Caenorhabditis elegans: one gene and its partner. The protein of the gene in region 1 purifies or fractionates together with the protein of each later gene. This does not show direct contact. Each region holds a gene or a part of one and is shown on either strand. Other genes may lie near its edges.

Region 1 (7,526 bases):
CCTTATATTTTTACTTTTGTTTGTGGAACTTTCATATTTTTCACATACGTTCACCTAACGAACAACTAACCCGGCGTTGCATCAATCCTAACATTTTTGTCTTGAAATAAGAAAAATATTAACAAGAATACGGTATTTCAAAGGATCTTTAAATCACTTTGGGCGACAAATATGATGTATTGAGTACTGTACAAACACCGACTAAAATGATCATGATCAACGCTCAAAGTTTTACTTTTATTATTACCTAACTTTTCAGGTTTTTAATACCGTAACAATGTTTTATTTTCATATTTCCTGATAATATTTAAAATTAAAATTCCAAAATTTCAGCAATCGTCCTATGACAGCCGAGGCATTCACCGCACCAATCAATCCTTCCCATAGCTGAACTTTCTCTTTCACTTTTCAATTTTTATTCAATTTTCTATAATATTCCTCAATTGCTAAAATTTTCAACTTTTTAATTGGACATTTCTCAATTATTACTATTATTATTATTATTATTACTCTAATAATGACATTTTCAAATAATTGAATACCCCTGGTACTTTCGTTCCTACTAATAAATATTGTTAAGCTTCAAATTGTTAAAATTTCAAAAAATAATAATTTTATTTCAGAAAAACAAAACAAATAAAAAATTAAAAAAAGGCACTGAAAATTATCACAACTGAACTCAAAATGCGATTAGAATTTTCTTAAATACACGTTTGTGATCCCACACAATGACCCGATGCAAAATGCAAAAATTAACCAAAAAAGCTAAAAACTGAAATTGTGTAATTGAGCGAAATTAAATTAAATTTTCAATTAAATTCAAAATCTCTGAAATTATCCATTCTCTTACGATCTTCAATTGAAAGTTTTTCGTTGGAAATTCCACGACCGTAAACTAAAAATTCAAAATACTTGTATGAGACAAACTCGAATCCGATTGGCTGGCTCATTGAGTGTTCGTGAGCAACTATGAAGTCGTGCTGAAATTTTTTTTTAATTTGAAAACACACACACATATTCAAATGAATTTCGTATAAAATAAAATCAGTTAGCATGAAAACGTTTCTTCCAAATCGTAAGTTTTAAAAATATTTTTTAACCATGAATTTTGTATTTACTGCAAAATAGATATTAATATAATTTCTCTAAAAATAGTAACCAACCTGTTCAATTTTAGAGGCTGTGACAAGAACTGTATGAATAACAATGTGATGAGCTGTCAATGAATGAATAAATAATCTTGTGCCACATGAAGTCTTTGATGCTCTTGTTCGTAGACCTGAACATTACTTTTTCTTATTTTATTTCTACATTAAATTCTCACTCATAACAATTCTATCATTCAATCCCTTGTGCCAATCATCAACAGTCCCCACTAAATCAACAGCTCCATTTCCTTTTTCTTCATAAATTGAAAGACGATCATCAGCAAATCCAAGAAGTAGATATCCTTCAGCTCTTTCCATTGAGGTTACCGAAGATGATAGTTTCAATAATTGCATTCTTTCACTTTTTAGTTTCTTTTGTTGATGACGATCAAGATCATTCCAGATTTGAAGAGTTTTAGCACAACTTACATAGCATCCCATTGGTCGACCGTGAAAGCAGATCATCTGAAAATTGACAATAAAATTGCCTAATTATCAAGACTAAATGTCTCAAAAATTCAAAAGAATTACCCACATTTTGAACATTAAAAAGAGGCTCAATTTGAGCGATGAACTTCTCCTGAACATTAAAATCGTGTTGTCCAGTGAGGAGTGCCACGTATGTTCGAATAGCCTTATCAGCAAATCCAACAGCATAACGAAGTTTACATGGAAGTTGACGGTACTGCATACTTGGATCCAGAGACACATTTAGTACTTCTATCGGATGTCCATTCTCATCTTCAGCTCGTGATTCGCCAAGATCGTGAAGACCGATAAGGCTTTCTGGAATCAAAAGTACAACTTGATCGTTTATAAAATGGAAAAGGGTTTTTCAGATATAATACATAGTACATTTAAACATAGTATTAATAACAGCTATTTAAAACAAAAATAACGACAAGATTACTTTTTACTTTTAAAATTATTGTTAGTAGATTTTGAAGTTTAAACGGTTTTATGGTTGATTTCAAATTTTTATATGCTTCTTCTAATGAGAAAAAAGGAAAGTTTAATAAAAATCAACTATGAAAAATCAACTTTAAAACGAACCTTCAGCATACTGCAAAACCTTCAATCGAACAAAAGTATCACTTGCAACAACTGCAAATGCACCTCTCTCATCAACTGAAAATGGAGTAACTGCAATTGCATGTGCACCACCTGTATGGTGTGTAACTCTGTGCCATCTCTCTTGATCTTTTTCCGAAACAACAATTTCTGTGTCAGTGCAATGAAGTGCTAGAAGGGATTCCCCAGTTGCCAATAATTTGATACAATTTACGGATCCTGACGAAATAGGATGAGCCAAAATACTGCTTGCCACAACAAAATGTTCATAATTTGATGCAAAATCAAATGATAAATGTAGAAGACCTCCAGTTACACTTCCCAAAATCTGAGAAAAACATTCATGGGAATTGGTATTTCTAATTTTAGGAAGTTGCCACATTTGTCAGCTTCTCGGTTCACTTAAAAGTATTCAGAAATGTTTCAGTATCAAGATTTCAAAATTATCAAAACTAGACAACAATTATGCTATGAATTGATAATTTTCCCATAAGACCACAATCATGGAGATCTAGGCTGCCAGATTCCAAGTTTTCAGTAAAAAAGTTTGGAATCAAGTCTCAAAAAATTGCTCACCATTTGATGTGGTTCAACGAGAATCGAAGAAATACTGTCGAAAGTGGGAAGTTGAAGTTGATTTCCAGCATCCAAGTACCTCTTTTCTCTGAAAAATATAACTATAATATTAGTTGCTCGAAAATAAGGCGTTAAATTATTGTTTGGGAAATCATGAAAATTAAAAAGATATGTTTTGGCGTTTGTTTGAAACTTTGAAAACTTATTATAAAACAAAATAAATACTGGAAAATCATGCTTATGGGAGGTAAACTGAATGATAGAAGTGGGTGGAGGGAAAAGTTGGCGATAAAAGTTTAGTTCAAGTATAGTACGTTCCTACCCTTTTCCAGCTTTTGGGCGGTTTCTGTAATTTTAAATTGGGGTTTTTTTCATTTTGCGCGCAGAAAATTAGTTTTTATAATTGCTGAAACAAGTTTTACCTGTAGAAATACGTCGGGAAAACATTATTCTGATCTGCTACGTAGACACCTTCAGCGGATTTCATTGCACAGGCCGCAGTGAGACACGTGGCAAATGATGCATCCAAAGAAATGGAGGCCACTCTGAAAATTATGGAAAATTTTAGAGTAAACTTTGAAAAAAAAAAATTACATTATGTATAGTTTAAAAATAGTTTTCGGAATTTATTTTATTTTTATTGTGGCAATTTTAATTAATTTTTCACACTTTGATACTTTCCAAAATAATTTGAAAGTCTTACCGTTTCCCCTTGCGTGGATAAATGGCCATCGTTGTAAGACCCGAAAGACAATATAAAGTGATATCTCGGCTCTGCGCATCCAACACAAAATGAGTGAATACATCCTTTTTGTCACCTCGATGCTCAAATATATTCTGACTAATAATCAATCTCATATCCTTTGCTGCTTCTGAGCAACCATTTAATTGATCGATTATCTGATCAATTTTCTGTTCCCATACATCCGAATGTTTCTTGATTTGATCACTATTCACTTTTGCAATAAGTTCTTCCACTACCATTTGTTTCTCTTCCACAGCAATCCAGCTTTTCCCAATAAGATTCTGATTTCCAGTTCTTTCAACTTCTTTGCACAACTGTTCAAGTTTCTCAAGCTCACTCAGCTCATCCACCAGAAGACTAATCATTTGCTCAATTTGATCATTCATGTCAAGTGCGGATTTTATTATTGTGATCAGTTTTCGGAGAGAAGTCAAACGTTGTGAGACCCGTTCACAGCGAATCTGAAATTATGCTTTGTGATTTGTAATCAAGGGTGTCAATTCCCGTTTCCCGTTTTTCCCGTTTTCCCGTTTTTAAAAATTTCCCGGGAACGGGAATTCCCGTTGTCCCGTTTTTCAAATTTTCACGGGAACGGGAATTCCCGTTGTCCCGTTTTTCAAATTTTCACGGGAACGGGACATTTTCCCTCATTTTTTGGTTTGTAGTTCGTTGTTCCAACACATCGCAACTTCTTTTTGTGAAGCATGACGTCACGCATTTTGCATACTTCGAAATTAGTATGACGTCACCCGTTCGAAAAATGGTGTTGCAATTTTTCGAGATTGAAAACAAGAAAGTGATTGTAAGCAAAGTTGGGATTGTTTCATAAATATTTTAGTATTAATTAAAAACCTACAGATTGATTCTTGAACTCAATCTTCAATTTGGCAAAATCGTCGTTCGTAGTGTCTCCTTCGACAACTTCTTCCTCTGCCACTAACTTATCAGACAAACTCTTTGAAGTAGTAAGCATATCTTCTCTCCGTTGTTTTTCAGTATCCTCGAATTTTTGAATTCTTCCAATTTCTTCAAAAACAACATCCAAAAGAACGCTTAAATTGTTTCGATTCACTGCGACTCTCTTCACTAGAAGCATATCATCGTACTGCTCATGAACCACTCCAACCCGTACAAAACCATCGTAATATGCCACGTGGAGAAGTCCCGAGTCCCTCCAGAGAAGTCCACTGGTAATTGGGCGACTGAAAAAATTAGCATTTGAATAGATTAATCTTGGTCCCTGGATATGTGTGAGATTAAATTTTCAACAAGCCCCTGATATCTCAGGGATAGTACATAGATTGCATGAGATTAATTCGATATCAGGTTAGTGCTTAGAAATTCGGTTGCCGCTAGGTTACTGTAGGATCGAAAGATACTCTTTACAATTTTTAAAATTCTAAGAACTCACTTGCATCGGAAAGCTTGAATACATTGAAAGTGTGTTGATGTATGAGCACAAAATGAATAATGGAAGATGCCGGTCTCTAGAAGAAATACTAGAAGAAGCTGAAAATATTTCTTTCTCATTTTTACTGTTTATTCCCTTATTTCTAACCTCAGTGTTTGAATGCTTCTCTGCATTTACAGCAATAATCTTTCCAGGTAGTTTCAGAATTCTGCTCTTGGAAACCGTCGAACTCTCGAATAATTCAACAGATTGCACAATTGACACGTGGTAGTCTCCATTGACAATGACATCTTCGGTTCCTTCAATTGGTTGAATTAGTCGGACGACGTCATTTGATCCGAACACCACGACATTTGTAACTCTGACAGGGAGACATGTATGTTGTGATCGTTCCAGTTCTAGTGCATGAATTACTTCAATGTCTCCGCCGCAACCTAGATTATTTGGTAAATTTGGATTTTAATAGAAATTCAATGTACCTGACAGAAGCCTCCCATCATCTTGATGCCTAAAAAGTGCGCCTCTAATCCTGTACGATGGATGCTCCAGGGCATACCCAGTCATGGATCTGTACAATTATTTAACCTTATATTGAAATAAATCCTAGGACATATCACAAATTTCTATTTTAAAGTAGGTTGTGTAATTCTTGGAATCAGATTTCAAATATTCAATTAGTTAAACTATTTTCAATTAATAAACTCACCGTTGTTGAAAATCTTGATGCGAAGTTGTAGATTCAATCATACCCTGAATCATGGCAGATATTAGATTTTAGTAATAAAGTTTTGAGAAAAGTAATAGCAACGCAATTAGTTTCTGATGAACGAAGAGAATAAGAGAATCGGTGGGATATTAAATACTACAACATAATACGCCAGAGACATGGTGTCGAAAAGAATTACGATGAGTGATCGGAACAGTTACGGACATAACACACTTATACAGTGAGGAATGCAAAAAGTGTATCGTCTGGCTTCTGACTAATTTCGATGGGGAAAACTTGGAAACTTGAAGAACTGAAACAAAAAGTGAAGAAGGTTTGAATGTACAACCATTTCTCTCTCTGAACACATTCTATTCTTATCACTGACAACATATCACTCCCATTCGTTTTATCAATTGGTGTGAATAAGTGTTTACCGTTTTTTTTAGTTAAACAACTTTTATATTCTAATAGGCAAACAACTAAATAGTCATAAAAAAGTAGCGGCAAATTTAACAAACTTGCAAGTTCCAATAGCAAAAGTTTCTTTTAAAAAATCACTACACGTAGGCCCAAACTTACATGCACATGTCTTGACCCTAATGAAAGCGTTCCCCTACTGCTCAAATTCAATTTTTTTTTAAATAATTATTTTAATTTTTAAATCTGTCAGTACAGAAAGATTTTACGAGGGTGTTTTTCAGGAGAAATTTTTTTTTAAATTGATTTCAAAAAGTTTTAATGAGCGCCTCAATTGATGAGGTATGTAATTGGAAGTACTCAGGAGCTGCAAATATTTTTAAGTAACGTGGCTACTTTGCAAAATGTGTTCAAAATATGACAAACAACATAAAGTTTACAATAATGAAGACATAACTAACTAATTGATTGTTGATGTTATCTTCAAAAAAGAATTCAATTGGAAAGATCTATTGAAAAGATTAAAATTCTGTCAAAGTACTTCTACAAGGTTAACCATTTGGAAGAAGAATGTGTAAACCATTTCCGAAAATCGAACAAATGTTTGTTTGATAGCGAGCAATACCTGATGGTTAAGCTGTACAAATAATAGAGTGTAGTAATGTGTATGTACTAGTTCAAAAGGAATTATTTTTCATTCATGGTATTAGATGTTTAATTTGAGATTGTTTTATCCAGTTGTTTCAAATCAAACGCAATATTCGAAATAGTTTAAATTGATATTTTTTCAATATATTGGGAACATCACACAGATAAGTTTGAAAGTGGCTCGCGGCGGGTTATTTTTAATACACACACAACAAATTTCTATCAGCCTCCTGCCGTTAGGCCTGCCTACTGGAGTACATCTGAATATAGCTTTGTTTCAATTTCCAAAAATTAAAACGGAGGTAAGTTTACACATATTAACACTCAAAACAGAAAATAGGCGGTAGGCAGGAGCGTAGGCTTGAAGACGTACCTGCTCACCACGCCTAGTCTAGTTAAATGTTCAAAACTCCTCCAAACTAAAGAAATTTCAAGACAATGCTAAAAGTCTGAAACTACAGTACTCAGTTTAGATTAATATGTTATTGTGGTTGGCCTGCCAAGTTTCACTAGATATTGGAAACAATAACAGACTGCGGGAACAGCAACAAAAATAAAAAATGAGATGAACAAAGAGAAGAGAGAGTCTAGGCTTTGGAACGATTGAAGAAGAGGGGCAAAACACGTAATGAGCAAGAACAATAAGAAACAACGAAAAGCACCCGTCGATGCAAGAGAGTTAGAGGAACAGCGGCGGCGGCGGCGTTTTTGAGCTCCCGGCGGGAAGAAGAACACGAAGCACGGGAGGAGAGAGTAGTAGGATCAGAGACCCGCAGACACGTGTGTATGGACGTGTTCACA
Region 2 (6,351 bases), on another chromosome or scaffold:
ACATCCGCCGTTTTCTGGACGAAACCCTTCTCACGTTCATTCTGACATTTATTGATAAGGTTTCCGTTCATAACTTTTTATATTCATAATTATTTGTATTTTCAGTGTATGGGAGCCGTCGCAGTCCCAAGTGACACACGACTTTTCCATGAATGTTTCTTGCTCACTCAAGAATTTATCGATAATTGGCCATCTTCTCATACCTGCCGTGCAATGCTTAAGTCGATCAGGGATAAATTCAATTTATTAGTTTATTTTAAATTAGAAACACATCGATTCGGAAAACAGTGCGATCAGCTGATGTCTCCCGAAATGTTTGCCGAGCCAGAAACTTCTGAAAATCGAGAAAACACTCCTCAGCTGCACTGCGGAGTTTCAAGAGCAATTATAACAGCAATTGAGCATGTGTGGAGTGATGATGTGTATCTTCCTCCTATTGTTGATAAATTATGGGATTTCACATTGAAGCTTTTGCTAAAGCATTTCTCGTGGAGTCAAACTATGAAAAAGTTAGATTAAAAGTTCTTCTTCACGAAAAATATTTTGTTTTCTAGTTATTTCATGGAAGAAAAAAGAGATTGGACTTCAATGGTTACTCTCCGCTCGGATACTGGAAATCTTCATCAATTGGTTTTCGATTTCGCGTTGGAGTCAATTTGGGGAAAATTTCAGTTCGTTTATTTAAATACTTACTTACATTTAGATATCATTTTTTCAGTGATATCACAGTGGATACCGCTCCATTCGGTCAATGCCTAACAAAGCATGGTCGATCAATTGATAGTCTTTGTGTTCAAATTGATGATAGTATTATTGAAATGTTCTCCGAAGTTCTTCATCAAGAAATTGCTCAAGTTTCCGATGTTCCTAAACAATACAGATGGACGAAGAAATCACCACCGACAACGCATTCCAAATATGTTGTTACAGCTATTGAAATGGTTGAGAATTTGAAAGAAAAACTATGGTAGTTTATATTGCTTCCACAAAATTTTGTACGTATTTTTTTCAGCTGCGAAGAACATCCTCACACCGATGAAATTGTTCGAAAAGTTAATCTTTCAGCATTCAATTATTTCGTGGGGAAAGGGAACGAGGTAACGTTTATTTTGGACACATGAGATAATTTTTTTTCCCGCTAAGTTTATAAACCACTCCAATTGATGCAAATTGCAACAAAATATTTGTTTTCAGGTGCTGGATAGTGTCGAAGCTACAGGATCTTCTTTATCCCGATTCAAACGGAAAACCACAACTGATTCTGGCTCCACGGTTACTGATGACGATAAAATCAAACAACAAATCTATCATGATGCTAAATATTTCCTGAGCTATGCGGAAAATCTTGTATTCTCACAAGCTGATCTCACCGGATTACAAGAAGTCGTCAATCGATTTGACAAAGATGCACGTTCGGCGATTGTACAAGAGAAAAATCAGAACGAAGAAGCGGGGAATGCTTGAATTAATTTTATGTGATTATTTATTTACATGTACATTTTATTTTAACAAATGGGTTGAAGTCTTTAAAATCGTCTATTGCCTTAATATGGGTTCATGGTATTGGAATAAAAAGTGTATAGCATCGTATTTGTGTTCACTTTCTTAAAAGTTCGGTTAAAAATCCATCGATTCATTTCTTTTTCTTTCTTTTTCATTTGATATATTAAAGTGGTAAATATTTCAGATGACTTCCTGGGCAGATATTCAGAAACTTGCATCAGATTTGCAGAGAGTTCAACTGTCACAATCATCTAAAAAGTGAGAAATATCATTGATTCTTGGCCATTTTATATATTTGATACTAAATGATAGCACATACACCATTTGCCCTAAAAACAACAAAAAATTAATAAGGTTTTAGTATCAAAAATTTAATTATTTATCTCATCTGTATTAACAATTTTTCACTAAAATTCTCAATTGTAGAATAATTTTAAAAAATTATTCTTTAAGGCTCTCCGAGGTGAATTGCATTGAAGTCCTTCAAAAACTTATCGCTTCTCATCGAATTGACGTGGTCTATACTAGAGATGGGCATAGTTATGTAACTAAAAACCACTTGGAAACTGAGGTGAGAGGGCAGAAATTTTTTATTCAAAAAAAAAAAATGAAAATAAAAGTAAAATATTGGTAGATGAGACCAATATGTAGTCGTTTCTTAAATTTCAGAACCCTGAATTTTTTCGAAAAATCTCATTATGAAATGGTATATTAAATGGAAGCCACCATTCTTTTTTGCCACGTGGAACTTCTTGGGGTGATGGAGAAACTGGAGAATTTGATGGTGACTCGTGTTGGCTCTGAAATTTCCTTTTTTTTAAAAGAATACTAACATTCCAAACAGCTTAGGCTCACTTGATCAGGTTTCTTTAATATAGACTTTGGCATTAGAATTGCGGGAGATGGATTGGGCATTGTTGAGTGTTTGAGAAAATAAAAATGTCTATCTATTCTTTCTTTTTTTTCTCACAAACTCCGCCTTTTTGTTGACCGCAATGAACTTTTATGTTTACACAAATGCAGAAATGTGAGTACAGAATAAACTGGAAGCAGCAAAACATGTGATCATGTTTTCATTTTGACAGCAGCCTTGGTTTTCGATTTGTTATTGAGGATAAATTTACGGTTAGGAATAAATATGAAAGAAGAACAATTAATTTTTATTATAAAGTATCACAGAAAAAAGTAGTTAAATAAATATTTGTAAGCAAAAATGTGTCATTTACGTTTTGAAAATCTGGAAAATATTATCTACACACGAATAATTACAGTAATCTTTAAAGGCGCGTTGCTCTTTGTGTATAAGATAATAATGTCGCTTCGAGACCGGCTACCGTATTTTGGCAGAATAATTGGAAAATTACACAGGCTGAATATTTTCCAAAGTTTCAAGTTCATCAATCCATTTTTCAGATAAAAAACGAGTGCATAGCCGCTGGAGGACGTGCTTCTCTCACTGATATCGCAGTTGCTCTTAACATAGATTTCGATCATATCGAGAAGACTTCGCGCTTGATTGTTTCGACTGATGATGAATTTACAATTTCGAATGCAGAGATATTCGCGACGTAGGTCAAGTTTATTCACGTGATTTAGATAGGCCTAAAGTTCGGAAAAGAACAAAGAAGAACACATTGACTTCATTATTGTTACGTGTCGATTGCAAATTGCAAATCGACAAAATCATTTGTTCATTGAACACTCAAAAAATATAAATTTTCAGTGAATACGTACATCGTCTTCGTAACGAATTGCGTACACTTCTCGATGAGCAAGGAAATCAAACAACTGCAGCACTCTGCAAGCACTGGAATCTATCATCGGAACTTTTGCAATCCTTGCTAATCGAAAAATTGGGATCTTCTGATTTTCAAGGAGTGGTTGATGGGGATACGATCTATACTTCTTCATTTTTGAATGCCAGACAATTGGTTCTACGCGCTATTCTGATTGCATTAACTAAGTGAGAATCTGTTTTCCATTGCCGTTCAAATAATGTTTTTTCCAAACAGAATCACTCCTATTTCAACTATCCAAAAACGAGTTGGTCTCACACCGAAACGATTTTGGATTGCGTTCGAAAATCTTCAATCTCTCGGCGAAATTCCTGGTACTTTAATCGGTTCTCGTACATCACCTTCCTGCTCGTATCGTCCAATGATGTACGATCATCTTGTGAAGTCGTGCGTTTTGAATCAATATAGACAGAATGAATTTTTAGGTATGATCATCTATTTGTTTATCTTTTAATTTCTTTAAATTCCAGAAATTTCAACTCTAAAAACTCTAGGAGTAGATGCAAAACCAGCTCTCGAAGAAGTTCTTGGATCATCTGAATTCAAAAAACTTGTCAGTATGAGATCTATGTTTATGACAAAAGAACTCATGGATCAATGTATTAATGCTGTTCAAGGTTTTTTGTTTAATTGTTTTGAATTTTATTACTTAATTGAATTTTTAAATTTTCAGAAGACTTACAAAAAAGCGGAATATCCGACGTGCATTTGGCTCTTCAATCTCTAAATCTTCCTCTAGATACTGCTGATGAGGATGAAATCGGGTCAAAAGTTGCAAATGTGGAAAAAGATTCGCATTTTGCAGAGGGTTTTGTGTTCAAGGGAGCAGTTTTGACTGAAGCTCTGCGTTCAATTGACAAATTGTTGGACGTCAGAGCACATGAGGAAGTTGATCGATTAGAAGCGGAGAAAAAGAAACAAGGCGGAGCCAAGGCAGCAGTGAAAGTTCAAGAAGAGGTATACAAATTGAATTGAAAAAAAACTATTTAATTTTTCAGACGGATGACTGGGGAGATGGAAAGAAAGGTGGAAAAGGAGGAAAGAAAAACGCAAAAAGTGTGAAAGGTGGTTCGAAATCGTCTGCTCCTTCAACTTCATCCAATTTGTCGGCGAATATTTCCATAAATAGTGAGGAACTGGAAATATGGCTTCGTGAAAGTCAATCAGTACCCGAAGAAATTCTTTCAGTAATTGTGGAAAAGTTGAATCAAGAGGTCCATCTCATGGATTCTTCAGAAATAAATAATTTTTATGTTTCAGACAACAACGCTACTTCGCAAAAAAGTTCAAGACATTCAAGCACATCAATTGGTTGCCAGCGTCGCTAATTCCAAAAAGTCATTGTCTGCAATCGGCGATAAGTGTAGACAACTTTACGATTCATTTAACACATTTGAGACGGCTACTTCCACTTTTGCTGGTAGAAAAAACTTTAAAACTGAATAGAAAAATAATTTATTTTGAATTTCAGATCCCCTTGGCTCAGATCTTCGGCAATATCTTCTGAAAACAGTTGGAAATGAAATTGCATTGGCGTTGCTTTCATATGTTATGGGAGTAGATAATGCACACCAATTGAAGGAAAAACAGCGAGAAGAAACAATTGAAAACCTTCCTGAAATGCTCAGAGATCCGATTCGATCAGTGTTTGCGTCGCTGAAATCTACAGATGATGATGCTTTGGATAAATTTCATGATGCTGTTTATAATTGTTCGGCTCCAAGTGCAACTTCGTTGGCACTGAAAAAAGTCGACAAGAAAGGAAGGTAAAATTATTTTCATAATTCTTTCCAAAAAATATCTAAAAATTATTTATAGTGAGTTAAAATTTTGGAAAAAAATAAGCTAAAATTTTAAATTTCAAAATTTGTCGCAGCTGCTGGAAACAGGGCTGAATTCGAATTTTTTGAAAAAAAAAGCGAAATACGAATAATTTTGCAATTTTTAAATATTATTGATCGAAATTGAAATTGTTTCACAATTTCAAGTATATTTTTTTTAGAAAAAAAGTGACATTTAAAATTTAAAAAAAAACAAATTTTTTCAGAGCCGAAGTTGGAGCTAAAATTACAGCGGAACTTCATGAGCAACTTTGTTCTCAAACGGAGCCAGCAACAACTCTTCTTCTGTCTGTTCTTTATATTTTAGCCAAGGCTGGACGCCCAACAACTGCCAGCGGAAAGTTTGTTTCTCAACTTGTTGCTCAAATTAAGGATTTATGCCCCGAGGTAATAGAATACTAAACATCTATATATCTATCAGAATATCTATTTCCAGAATGTCTTCGACCTACTTCAGGCATGCCAAAAAGGCGTAGTTACTTGCATCAAGAACAAGGGCGACGAAGTGGCCAAAGAAATGCTCGTTAATGATATTTCTAGTCTGAAACAGTCAATTATGCCATAATATCGAAATAATTCGTATAACTTGTTTAATTAATTTATTGAGAACTGAAATATGAATGTATTGCACGTGTTTTATTCTGTTAAAATTAAATCTGTAATTGTTTTTTTAGTCAGAAGGTAGCTTTCATAAACAGCCCAATTTCAATTACTTTTCAATAGATCGCAAATTTTGATGGTCGTTGTGCTCGGATCTCTTCTGCTGTAGATTTTGATTAATATTCACAGCAAAGTTTAATCCTCGAAAAACTTCATAACTCAATTTTTTTGAATTTATCTTCTTCAGATGTCCGGTGACATACCTCTCCACCAATTGCAGCCAAACATGAATTCGTTTTCGGTTACTGTAATTGTTCTAGATCCAGGTATCCTTTGATTTTCAGAAAGAATTTATAAAAATGAATAAATTTTAAGGGATTCATCGCAGAACACAGACGGGAACAATTATTTCAATGAAAGTGGCTGACGCATCGGGTAAGATCAGATAAACCGAAATTTAGCGATTTTTGCTCCAAAAAACGATTCGATTTTCAATCTCGGAACGACAATTTTTGTGGAGTTCGAAAAGGTATGCGCCTTTAAGCAGTACTGTAATTTAAATTTCCTTCGAATTTTCATAGTTTTTAGATAAAAATATATTTATTTATGGA

Evidence for each region. Proteins that work in one complex are often made in the same cells at the same time.
Region 2: the proteins of dct-6 (region 1) and ufl-1 fractionate together in Caenorhabditis elegans (co-fractionation; one large-scale study listed by BioGRID). This does not show direct contact.

Annotation. Positions count from the first base shown.
Region 1 is NC_003281.10:5,964,588-5,972,113, reverse strand, and holds dct-6 (Protein dct-6), read right to left. Parts: upstream 5,702-7,526; 5' UTR 5,699-5,701; coding exon 5,658-5,698; intron 5,520-5,657; coding exon 5,431-5,519; intron 5,386-5,430; coding exon 5,099-5,385; intron 5,050-5,098; coding exon 4,952-5,049; intron 4,743-4,951; coding exon 4,397-4,742; intron 4,241-4,396; exon of another isoform or gene 4,082-4,240; intron 4,002-4,081; coding exon 3,499-4,001; intron 3,341-3,498; coding exon 3,218-3,340; intron 3,142-3,217; coding exon 3,118-3,141; intron 2,884-3,117; coding exon 2,796-2,883; intron 2,548-2,795; coding exon 2,202-2,547; intron 1,935-2,201; coding exon 1,684-1,934; intron 1,614-1,683; coding exon 1,325-1,613; intron 1,280-1,324; coding exon 1,164-1,279; intron 981-1,163; coding exon 810-980; 3' UTR 603-809; downstream 1-602. Other genes in the region: mlp-1 (Cysteine-rich protein 1), read left to right, coding at 334-391. UniProt on the Caenorhabditis elegans protein: May have a role in tumor suppression.
Region 2 is NC_003282.8:7,032,196-7,038,546, reverse strand, and holds ufl-1 (E3 UFM1-protein ligase 1 homolog), read left to right. Parts: upstream 1-1,687; coding exon 1,688-1,761; intron 1,762-1,956; coding exon 1,957-2,074; intron 2,075-2,075; exon of another isoform or gene 2,076-2,168; coding exon of another isoform or gene 2,169-2,303; intron 2,304-2,358; coding exon of another isoform or gene 2,359-2,418; exon of another isoform or gene 2,419-2,424; intron 2,425-2,916; coding exon 2,917-3,071; intron 3,072-3,226; coding exon 3,227-3,466; intron 3,467-3,515; coding exon 3,516-3,724; intron 3,725-3,769; coding exon 3,770-3,916; intron 3,917-3,972; coding exon 3,973-4,256; intron 4,257-4,297; coding exon 4,298-4,513; intron 4,514-4,559; coding exon 4,560-4,719; intron 4,720-4,770; coding exon 4,771-5,065; intron 5,066-5,346; coding exon 5,347-5,527; intron 5,528-5,576; coding exon 5,577-5,705; 3' UTR 5,706-5,851; downstream 5,852-6,351. Other genes in the region: cogc-2 (Conserved oligomeric Golgi complex subunit 2), read left to right, coding at 1-59, 106-509, 555-671, 719-967, 1,013-1,097, 1,195-1,464; C06G3.3 (uncharacterized protein), read right to left, coding at 2,169-2,303, 2,359-2,418; nabp-1 (OB domain-containing protein), read left to right, coding at 5,988-6,066, 6,116-6,175. UniProt on the Caenorhabditis elegans protein: E3 UFM1-protein ligase that mediates ufmylation of target proteins.